Linked DNA regions of Caenorhabditis elegans. The protein of the gene in region 2 interacts with the protein of the main gene of each other region in a pairwise test. Each region holds a gene or a part of one and is shown on either strand. Other genes may lie near its edges.

The links.
Region 1: the proteins of pfn-1 (region 2) and cyk-1 interact in a two-hybrid assay, tested with the Caenorhabditis elegans proteins (one study listed by BioGRID).

Annotation. Positions count from the first base shown.
Region 1 is NC_003281.10:7,023,043-7,031,031, forward strand, and holds cyk-1 (WAPL domain-containing protein), read right to left. Parts: upstream 6,164-7,989; 5' UTR 6,155-6,163; coding exon 5,675-6,154; intron 5,539-5,674; coding exon 5,445-5,538; intron 5,061-5,444; coding exon 4,999-5,060; intron 4,952-4,998; coding exon 4,715-4,951; intron 4,662-4,714; coding exon 4,485-4,661; intron 4,438-4,484; coding exon 4,238-4,437; intron 4,189-4,237; coding exon 3,906-4,188; intron 3,857-3,905; coding exon 3,496-3,856; intron 3,449-3,495; coding exon 3,312-3,448; intron 3,262-3,311; coding exon 2,610-3,261; intron 2,564-2,609; coding exon 2,029-2,563; intron 1,982-2,028; coding exon 1,476-1,981; intron 1,431-1,475; coding exon 1,009-1,430; intron 964-1,008; coding exon 796-963; 3' UTR 600-795; downstream 1-599. Other genes in the region: rfl-1 (NEDD8-activating enzyme E1 catalytic subunit), read left to right, coding at 1-65, 109-285, 329-524.
Region 2 is NC_003279.8:12,920,124-12,924,235, forward strand, and holds pfn-1 (Profilin-1), read left to right. Parts: upstream 1-1,880; 5' UTR 1,881-1,916; coding exon 1,917-2,042; intron 2,043-2,886; coding exon 2,887-3,159; 3' UTR 3,160-3,425; downstream 3,426-4,112. UniProt on the Caenorhabditis elegans protein: Binds to actin and affects the structure of the cytoskeleton. At high concentrations, profilin prevents the polymerization of actin, whereas it enhances it at low concentrations. By binding to PIP2, it inhibits the formation of IP3 and DG.

The sequences.
Region 1 (7,989 bases), on a different chromosome or scaffold from region 2:
GTTGCATCAACAAATGCAGTTATCGCTGCATCATGTGCCCTAGAAGCTCTGAAATTGGCCACAAAGTATGTAAGATCACATATTAAAACTCTCAATATTCAATTTCAGCATTGCCAAACCAATCGATAATTATCTTAATTTCACTCAAATTCACGGAGCATATACCAGTGTTGTTTCAATGATGAAAGATGACAATTGTCTCACTTGTAGTGGTGGGCGTCTTCCATTCGAAGTTTCACCATCTTCAACTCTTGAATCGCTTATCATCAGACTCTCGGAGCGTTTGTACGTTCTCCGTTTGTTTTAGAAAACAAATTTCAAATTTCAGCCATCTCAAACATCCGACACTAGCGACCTCAACTCGAAAACTTTACTGTATTAGCAGTTTCATGCCACAATTTGAACAAGAAAGCAAAGAAAATCTGCATACTTCGATGAAAGATCTTGTTAGCGATGGCGAAGAAATACTGGTATCCGACGAAGCATTGTCTCGTGCACTTACACTACGAATTCAGCTCATCTAATGCATTTCTTCTATTTCACTTTTGAATGTCTCGGGTAAAGTATGCCTGTGTTCCATGTCAATAAAAATAAAATCGTTTTTAAACTCAAAATATTTACCTAAAGAAAATAGAAAGGAAAAGTGAACTGATGAAAATACAACGAGCAATTGAAATGGAACGAGAAGAGGGACCCTGTGAATGACAATTAAAGTATGAAAAATGTGGCAATAATACAGAAAAAATAGAGACGGAGAATGACTAGATCTATAGATAAGACAACCGATGTGAGCTTTCAGAAATCATTAAGACGTGCGAGAAGATCGTCTGTTGATGGCACCACTGTGCCTGATGATGATGATGTAGCCGTGTTTGATGATGCAGGACCAGATGAAGTTGACGAGGAACCCGTCGGATCGTTTTCTTTGTGCGTTGGTGAGATTTGCGATGTTCCATTGATATTCTGAAAGTTAAATTTCGAAAAGTTTCCACATATAAAATATGTTACCGTAACTGGAACAGCTGGTTGCCCTTTCCTTCTCACTCGAACTTTGAGCTCATTCTGACCAATCGGCAATCCAACTCCAAATGCTTTAGCCCTATCAAGCGCCGTTGTTGGTTTTACTGATGATGGAAGTTCCATATTTTGTCGTTGCAGATCATTTTGAGGAACGTTGCGTGATCGAGCAAACTGTCCGGAAAGAACCGGTTCCGATGCGCAGCCAGTGAGATCTTGAAGCTGACCCAAAGCATTCTGATGTCGTGATCTTTGCCGATCAAGTCCTCCTCCAAGTCTTCCACCTCCGCGAGTTCGAGCTGGCAATCCGGAACGAGGAGTTCGAGAATTTGTGGCAGACATCAAGGTTTGAAGGAAATCAGCATTTCCTGTAGCACGCTCCAACTCATCGAGCACACCAGCCTTATCGGCAGCTGAAAAAATTATATTAAAAAACAATTTCAAAAATATCAACTCACCAGTCGAAACTCGAATCATCGCAGCCGGAGTTCTTGGCACTCTATTAATCGCCTGTCTCTCTTGTAACGGCTTCCTTTCTTGTTGAGATTGTTGCAGCTGCTTCCGCTTCTGTGTCTCAAATTCTGCTTCTTTTCGTTTTGCTTCTGCTTCGGCATCCAACTCTTTCCAAGCATTCGAATATTGCTCAGAGAAGGTGCGAATATCGGCGAAAAATTCTTCCATCGGATATTTTTTGTCGTTAAATGCATAATACTTGACCAACGACTCCCAATCGTTTTTCATCTTTCCACACATTGACGAAACTGTGGAGAACTCTTTGACAGCTTTTTCGTGGAACGGCCGCATCTTCTCGTCGAATAAATCACGTTCTCCTTGAATTTTGTACACTTTTAAGCAGTTCTCCAGTTTTTTAATGTTATTCTCTGTCAGTTGAACAGTTTTTCGAATTTCATCCGCATTCACTCGGGACGATTCAATGCAATGATGGAAGTCGGTGAGAGCAAATCTTAAATTTTTTAAATTTTGAGAAAGCAAGTAAAGGAATCTACTCACCGTGCTCGTCTTGGATCGATTCTCTTCATTTCTTCAATTAAATGATGTAGAAGAGTATGCCGATTATCGACATCTTTTGTATCAACCAGTCTTGTCAGCATTCTCATGTCGAACGCGTAAGCACTCGAATAGTTTTTTGTCGCTCCGCCCATAAAGTTTCCAGTCGCCAAAACAAGTTTCAAAAATGTTCGGAATCCTTCAGATGCTCGTACTTCTTCGCACGCTTCCATCACTGACGACATGGCTGGTTTCAGTTCATTCAACACTTCAGAGAATCGCATTTTGAATAGAACCAAGTCGAGACGAAGCGGAAGACCTTGAATTTGGAGCAGACGAGTGACAAATTGTTCACCCTCGGGCATTTCCTCAAATTGAGCCTTGTTCACCGCTCTCAGCTTGTCAATAAGCTCCTTCTCCACTGGCATTGCTGATCGAAGTTGCTCCAAGAATCCGACAGTTAAAACCTTTTCGTTGACTTCCAAAATCGCCAGCTTGAGCTCTGAATGCGACATTTTGATTGATCCTTGAAGAATGCCTGCAAGAAAAAGATCATAAAAAAGGATATACTTCTTCGAGTTTACCCAATTTTTGAAGTAATTTATCGTCATGAATGACTTGTGCTGTCTTCACTTTCTTTTTGCTATTCAAGACACCACCAAGAGTACCACTATTTGCAGCAGGTTTCGTGGCGAATTTGGTTCGTAAACGATCGAACATTCGATCGCTGGTCAGCTGTTCTTCGTTTGTTCCAACCCAGAACGACTCTCTTGGAATATCCCGAGGGTTGATAGTATGTGCTCCCCATGGGAACTTTCTCATGGGACCATCAACCTTTGGAACCTTCTTGGGTGGAAGGTAATCAGGTATCACGGGAGCCATCGGTGCGAACATGCCTGGAGGAGGTGGTGGTGGCGGTCCGCCCTTGAACCCTCCCGGTGGTGGTGGAGGAGGTGGAGGTGGACATCCTCCAGGAGGCGGCGGAGGTGGTGGAGGACCTCCAGATATTGGAGGCAATCCTCCCGGTGGAGGCGGCGGCGGGGGTCCTCCGGTGATTGGAGGAAGACCACCAGGAGGAGGAGGTGGAGGCGGCCCTCCTGTGATTGGTGGGAGACCTGGAGGTGGTGGTGGACCTCCAGTTATTGGCGGTAGAGCTGAAGATCCACCAGCAGATGTGGATGGAGCCGACAAGTTCATCTTCGTTGGCGGAGGAAGAGGTATTTTTGGATCATTTATCTGAAAAATAACATGTTTCAATCAAACCGCTTCTAAAAAAGTAAATATACATGTTTTCTCAGTTCTTCAGCTTCTTTCTGGAAATCACATAATGTTTTCCAGTATTCTCCTTGCATTGCAACAGCTTCCTGTTTGGCCGACGTGGCTTGTCGAACTTTTTTGGCCATCTCTTCGTCTTGCATTTTATCTGTAATTAAAATTATTTAATTTTTCAATATACTCTCGATCACAAACCAATGATCTCGGCCACAGGAACCTCAAACACAAACTTATAATCCGCTTGTGGATCGATTGGAGTTCGATGCAGAAGAATATCTGATATGGCTGTCTCGATGAGTTTCATATACGATCTTTTCGTCGACATATCCTCATTAGTAAGAGTCATAAGCTGTAAAATTGAAAGGAGCACTGTCTCGGTTCCGGTGGCTTCAGAGTTGGCGGCAAGAAGTTCAAAACATCCATCCAAGGTATCATATTCTCCTTTTACATTTTCAAGCTTCCCCATCAGTGTTTCCAAATCTGCATTGTGCTCAGTGAGCATGTTCTGAGCAACATCCCGAATTTGCGAGTTTACAGTTTCAGATGTAGTGAATTTCTGGAAAATATCTGGGATAAGATTATTTTTCTGAAACAATCAAATTTACCTCAATGTACTTGTGAAGTTTATCTTTTGCAGCTTCACTCCTTAATCTCATTCGTGCTTGCCACATCGTCTCTTCTGTCCACATTTGATCATCACTTATGTTACGATCGACACCATTGATCATCATATTTATCATCAGAAGTACGTACATTCCTTGTTTTGGATCGCGGGATTCTAGAAAATCGATGCAGCTGATGAGGGGCCGAAATCGAGAAACTGGTTCATTGAGCCGTTTGGATTCAGCTTTAGCTATTAAGGACAACTCCATGAACATCTTTTGTTGACTGAAATGCATTTCAATTAAATAAGATTTGAACTGTTCAAAATTTTTACCCAGTCATTTCAATCGGAGTTGACAGCGTATCATGTTGAACAAAAATCAACGTATAACATGTTCTAACCACATCAACCCGAATAGCTCGAATCTCAGCTGCTTCATGATCGTTTTGCTCTCGCCTGTTCAGGACGCATAATGTTTGAATGAGAAGTGAGTATACAGGAGAGTTCCGTCGCAATACAAGAACAAGGCCAACCTGAAATAGTGTAGAATTAGAATTAGACTGAAAACATACAAACTTACATGTGTATTAATTAGCGTTCGGACACATCTGACGATTTCTTGCAAGAAATCAATCAAATCAAGCTCATATTTCGAGCCAACTTCACTGCTTCTCAGTCGTTTCAAGACTAATGAGTAGAGACAGCAGATAAGATCAGCTCCAGTGCGACCAGACTCGTCATGAACTTCTACGGCGAACTGAAAATAAATATGTATTTTAATAGTAACAATATCTATCTTAAAAAACGAACCTTATTAAGAAATGAAACACCTTGACCAACTAGCTGAACCCGTACAGTAACAATATCCTGCTTGCATTCCGGAATGTTTTTCGTTTTCAATATTTCTCCCAATACTCGTACAACCCATTCCGGAGACCTTCCCTTCGCCTGATTATCTTGTTTTCTCGAATTCTCAATCATCATTTTCATTTGATCAAGTGGCGTATTAGAAATAATTTTATCAGCTTCGGGCAGACCTTTGTCGAGCTGCAAAATTAGTAGAAATATAATAAGAACTCTATAAAGAATATTACCATAATTTTCCTGAATTCTTCTCGTATTTCGTCTTCAGTTCCTGACAAGGCAAATGATTCTCCTGGAACTATTTTATATTGAAAATGGAGATCTTCGAAATAATTCAGTTTAATGCTCGTTTAAAAGTGAAATACGGTCAATGGGAAAACAATTTGAAAAACGCTTCCTATGACGCTAAAATTATTAAATATCATAATAACATGTTTTAAATCTACAGTCAAAAATAAGTGAAAGAAAAGTGGCAAAAACTCACAATCAGTTTTCACCGTTTTTTCACAAATCACATTGTGAAATAATAAAAAAATTTCAAAATATTTTTGAGAAGTTCTATGACATTTTGACATCTTAGCACCATAGGAACGGGTTTTAATTTCAATATTGACCGTACTCTACCTTTAACTAGCGACATAATTTTTATTTTCAAGATTAAGAAAAAAAATATTACCTGAAGAATTTGAAGCAATCGAGAAACCTCCAATACTTTGTGTGCCTGCATATGTACCGTAGTCATTGTTTGAATATGACGATGATGGAACATTCTGAAAATAAGAAAATATACTTGTGGGGAAAATATTAATTTGAGGATTTTGCAAACTCTAATTATTATTATTACTTTTCTCTAATAATAAGATGTTATTTCTGTATTTTTAGGTAGAAGAATTCCCAGATACGAACATTTAATTTCTGTCGTTGTTTTCGTTTAAATCTGCTCGATGAGAACAAATCAGTCCATCTTCCAGAACCATTCGCTCCACTTAAATGAAATGGACTCCTACGACTAGCAAAATCAGCAGCTCCAGCCAACATTGAATGTCTTTCAGCGCTTCTCCTTTTGAATTTCTGATTAGGAACTTGATCTTCCAAGAAATGAGAAACAGTTGCATCTTGTGCACGAGTCGCTTTTTTCTTTTCGCGCAATTGCACACGAGGCTCGTCTATATCAGAATTTTCAGAATTCGGGTGAAGAAACTGCGCTTGTAGAGGGTCTAGAATTGTATTTTTTGGAGCAGAATTAGAAGCTGATGGTGTAGGAGTCACGTCTTCATCGTCATCCGTTGAATAACTTGAATGACGAGATTGGGTAGGAAGTCGATTCATATCAGCTAGTGAAGCTACACGTGGCGTGTCAATTGACTCATAATCATCGCTAGACATTTTTAAGCTGGAAATGTTTCAAACTGAACGAGATTTTGAACGGAACGAATTGAATTAATAAAGTGGAGCGGATTACCGAAACGGTCAAAATAACCTCAATACAGGTAATAAAATCTAATCGTAAATGAAGGTAAAACCGTGAATTGAATTGAAATTGTATTGACAAGTGCAGAGAAATCAAAAACCAGGGAGAAAAATAGTGAAGAAATGAATAACCGATTGGAAAATAATTTTCTTACGAAAAATAGAGACTTTGTTATTTTCCATATACAGAAAACCAACTAAAAATTGAAGGCAATCAGCGAACTCTAGAAAAGTGAGAAGAAGGGGAAAAAGAGAAGTGGAATGTCATCTGATTCTTGGGGAGAAAAATACAAAAATGAAATCTATTCAAATTGAATGGCAGGCAAATCGACAGGGCATGCGGGTCGTTGGATGAAAAAGTGAGAAATGGAGGAAATGTGTGAGAACCTAGTGATAAAAGAACAAAATAAATATAAAATAAACACAGTCACTTCGGTATTTGGAGAAAGCGAAAAAGGGAGAGGAAGAGAATTTGAGAAGTGCTCCGGAAAACAAGAAAATGAACTCGGGAATGGAGATTAGCTCATTCTTCATTAAGTTTTGAAATAATATGTTTTCAGCCAGCATATAATTTGCTTAAAATCTAGTATCTGAGAACAGCCTATTTAATTTAAACTCTCACGTTTTCGCGGAAATTCATAAACTGCAATCCTACATTTTAAGATATTTATTACACATCGTTGAGTTGATTGGGATTTTCGTCCTCATAAATAAAATATATTTAAAAGGAATCCAACTACTTGTTTTTTGGCGGCTAACATAAAGCTCGTTCATTCTTGAAGGAAATTTGACACTGTTTTACAGTATGCAAATCCCTTGCTCTCTTCTCTTTTTTGTCTGATTTTTCCCGCCAAATGGGTCATTGGGCACATGTGAAGGAGATAAGAGGACTCATGGAGAAAGTAGAGAAGGAGAGACGGTCAAAATGGAGACTCATGTCAAGTGGACAGGCTGGTGGTGCTTTTTGAGCATATGATTATCATAGACATATCACTGTTGACAGAAATATGAATGATAGCGTGTTCGCCGGCCGGATGCTCTACAATGTGTATTTTCTATTCACACATGCATGAAGTCACTGCCGATCGTTCAAAATACTGAAGTGCAAATATAAATTTTAAAGAAAATTACTACATGTGCAATGATCGCTTAATTTCACGAATGATAGAACACCTTAAAATGTCTAAAAATGTTTTCTGGATACGTTCTCAAAAAATATGTGATAATTCTACAGTAATCCGATGTTAAAGACTAAGATTTCTTCAAAAAAATTCGGTGCCTCATGCTGGAATCGAACCAGCGACCTTCTGTTTACTAGACAGACGCTCTGCCACTGAGCCAATGAGGCGGACAGAAAACCGGATAGTAAAGCCGTTGAGAAGAGAGAGAGAGAGAGATACGAGACAAAGATATCAAGGCAATTGGGTGGGTTTTTTAACACTGAAAATAAGACAATTGTTTGAAAACTGAAAATTTTGTTAGATAAACTTTCAGAAAGTAACATTTAACTTCAAGAGGAAAGATTTCTATGATCATTGGTAACTGATAAGCTAAAGAGCAAATAGCATAGTCACATAGACATTTAACAGAGAGAGAACACCTAGATATTTGGTAAACACCTAAAAGAAAAACTGTTTAAGTTGCGAGATGTGACATATGAGTTTAGAAACGCTAATTTAAAATTAGGCAATTGTGGGATACACCTAGAATAAGAATAATTTAAACAGATAGAAGTGACACCCTTTCAGTTA
Region 2 (4,112 bases):
TTCGTTCCATTCTTGCTTTAAAACTGTAAGGAAGGAGCGGAAATAGGTGATTCAGAAAGAGTTTTTTATCAATTTTCGGCATCCGATAACGTCGTGAATCGAGAAAAATAAAAAAGCTATAAAAATTATCACATAGCGTAAGATTTCGACTAGAAAACTCTCAATTTTCCTATTTTTTTTGATGAAATTTCAGCTCACAGTGAGTGTTTTGTAGAAAAATGTAAAATTTTCCCCATTTTCCCCATTTTCCGCTTTCTGGAGTTTATTCGTTCGATTTACTGACAAAATCTTCGGGTTTTCTGCAATATTTATAGAAAAATCCGGCCAATGCTACGAAATTTCTGTTTTTCGCGGCTCTTTTGACTATTTCGTGACTTTTTTGGGGCTTCGATCATCAAAATTTCGAATATTTTTATGATTTTTGAGCATTTTGATGTATTTTTTTTCTTCTAAATGACTTTCAGATCTCCTTGGCAGAAAAAACTGCGAATATTATAACAACTTGAAGCTTCCTCGACGATTTTTGGCGACCTGCTGTTCCATGTGACTCACCATTCCAATTTCGCAATCCACTGGTCATTCTCGGCATTAAGATCCATTTTCAGCGCTCAATTTCGCAATTTTCAAAGCTAGAAAGCTTTGTTCAAATTGAATTGTTTCGCAACTCGTCTTCTATCGCCTTTTGGTTCTCTTTCTCCTCCGTCGTCTTCGCTGTGTTCTCTTCAAAATGATTCATCATTGGCTTTGGTTGTGTCTCTGGGTCTGTGTGTTCAATATAAATTGCAACTGCATTTGACATTAGTATGGATTGAGGCGGGTTATTTCACCCTCTTTTAGTAGTACACACACATTCAATTTGATGGGCGGTCTCTGTCTCTCTTTTCGTCCTTTATGGGTGAATAACTGACCAGCGGAGCAAGCAGGCAGGAGCAGGAGCACAAGCTCGTTGTTCGGGTTGAAAAGGGGAAGAAGGAGAGCACCAGATGGCATGCAAACATTCTCTTTCTCTTCTTCTCTCTATTGCTTTTCCTCACTGTCATTCACTGCTTCTCCATTTGCCCAGCCAATTAGATGGAGTGTTCCGGGTGGTCAAAGATGTCCTCTAGTTTTCGTAGCAATTTTCATCTTTCGGAATTTGAAATTGGAAGTTTTCTTTAATTTCTCTCAATTTTGGGTCATCTGGCGATTTTATGCCATTTTTCTTGTGAAATTAAATTCTCAGATTGCTCTAGATAGTTCAAATCCTCTAGTAGTTGAAAATTCGCCTCAAAACGTTGCTTTTTTAAAAAGAATTCTCCCTTAAGTTGGTCCTAATTTCTCGAGGCGAGATCTTCCAAAAGCTGAATTTTTCCAAGTTTTCTACATCTGAAACTCGAAATATTTACTATTTTCGTAGTTTTTGGTAGTTTTCGGTGTTTTCGAGCTTCAATTCCGCCTTTTTGGCCTGAAAATGGTCTGAAAATCATCGAAAATTGGTCAACTCTAGGTAAAATGCCAATTTTGGTTTAAATCGGCTCAATTCACAGAAAATTTCCAAGAAATTCATGAAAGAAGCTCAATTTTTGCACTACATTGGCGAGAAAATTGTGAATTTAGTGAGATTTTGTTGGTTTTTGTCATTTTATCCATTCGCAAGTTCTTCGCCACCAACTTACACCACAGATAAGCAAAAAATCTGCGGAAATATCAATTTTTGGGTATTTCGGCATTAAAATTCCATTTTTTGCGCAGTAAATCAAAAAATAATCGATTGTTTACAAAAACCGTAATTTTCAAGCGATTTTATGCTCTTTTTCTCCTAATTTGTGCTCTTTCTTCATATTATCATTTCTCATTACCCCTCCAACCATCTCAATCATAATTTATGTTTATTTTTTCAGTATAATCTCCGCTTCAACCTCCTCCAAAACACAAAAATGTCCGGATGGAATGCCTACATCGACACAATGACTGCCGCTGCTCCATCAATCAAACGGTGTGCAATCGTCGGAGCCGCTGATGGATCTGTCTGGGCTCGTACTGAGGCTGACAATGTGTTCAAGGTATGGAAATGGACGAAAATCATCGAAGAAGCTCGAGAAAAAATCGATTAAAACTGGAAACGATTGAAAAATCCTTAAATTGACCCATTTTTGAGATTGAAAAGAGCTAGCGGGGTCGATTTTTGTTGGAATTTTCGCATTTTGACCCAAAAAACTGAAAATCTCGCGAAATTATTCACTTTTTGAATTGAAAATCGAAATTTTTAGCCGCTGAATTTACATTTTACAGGAATAATTAGCAAATCCACTCAAAAATTGCAAAATTTTCATTATTTTTCGAACAAAATTAAAAAATTCCAGATTAGGCAGGCTTCAGGCGGCCGTGCCTGCCTACCAGCCCCTGTTTCTCATATAGTTTATACTTCTTCGAAACCCAAGTAGGCAGCAGACAGGCTTAGGCTACCTTGAAGGTCAGGCAAGTTACCTGCCTGACTACCTTCGAGGTGGCCTGCCTGATACCTACATTAGAGCCTACTTGTATTTCAGCCGCCTGAAGCCTGCCTACTCTGGAATTTTCTAAACTTTTTTTTTTCAGATTTTTCAATTTCATGAAAATTTAGAGTTAAAAAGCGTTAAAAAAAAAATTAAAATTCGAAGATTTTTTCCTGCAAAATGTAAATTCACAGACTGAAATTTGTGATTTTCCAGTATCTCGGCCAAGAATAAGCCGATTTTTTTGGAAATTTCAGTGTTTTGAGGCCTAAAAATGCGAAAATTGGGGAAAAAGGCTAACTTTAGGGTTACTGGATTTAAAATTTCGAATTTTTGGAAATTTCAAAGCGCAAATTTTTTAACAAGAAATATTTCCTGTCCAAAAACTTCTCTAATTTTTTCCAATTTCCAGGCATCCGAAGAAGAGCTCAAAACCTTCGTTGCCCTATTCAATGACGTCACTCAAGTTCCAGCAAAAGGAGCCGATATCGAAGGAGTTCATTACGTCGTTCCACGTACCGAAGAATCGCTCATCTTCGGAAAAAAGGAGAACACTGGATTCTTCGCTGTGAAGACCAAGTCTGCAGTCTTGATTGCTGTCTACGAGGGACCAAATGAAGTTGCTGCACAAGTTCGCAAGGCTGTCGAGAGTATGCAAACCTATCTCAACAATGCTGGATACTAAATACTTCTCTCTCTATCGATTGTTGTTCGATTCGTATTTATTCCCGCTTTTCTCTATTTTTTTTTTGCAAACTTCCCCCTTCTCCCTTCTCCCAAACCTTGATTTCTACGAGTACAACGATGAAATTCGGTTTTCTTCCGCGTAATCTTTCCCTCAAAACTCCCATTCCCAGAGCAAACACAGAAACAGTTTTTATTTCACTTTCAGCTTTATCATAATGTATTGTATTCCCCCGTTTTGTTTTCTAGTAAATTCATTGCCAATTCAATGCCTTCTCGATTATTTCATTTTCATCTCCCATCGACGGAGAAAGAGAGTGAGAGAAGAGTTTTGTGCTCGGAGCAATTATCGCGTGTTTTTTTCGAAACCACGCCCACACTGCAATTGTGCGGCGCGGTTTTTTGGTCAGAATCATTTTACAGATTTTTATCATCGTTTGCAAAAATCGTTTAGAGAAAAAAAACTCGGAAAAAGATGTCTAGAAAATGAGGGAAAAACAATTAAAAAGTAATCACATTTGTCAAATGAAATTTTCCACAATATCTTACGCGAATGGGTCTCGCTAGGCAGACAACACGGTTACTGTAACTCCTGTCGGTTTACAGTAACCTGTTGCCAGCGTGGCGAGACCCGTGGGAGTGAGATATGGCGGAAATTTTTATTTTTCGGCGTCTTCGTATTATTTTTTATGAGAAAACCCATAAGAGTACGTAAGAAAAAATGGCCGAAAGTTTAAGCTTTTCGAAAATATGGAATTTTTCTATATATCGGAAAATCATAAATTTTCGTCTCAGAAAAGGGTGCCGTTTTTCGATTTTTCAATGTTTTTAGGGAAAATTTTCGATTTTCCGAAAAATTTCATTTTTAGAAAAATCAAAAACCGAAAAAACTGCTCATTCCAGTATGATAATTCAACTTTTTTAAATTCATAATTAAAATATTACGTATTTGGC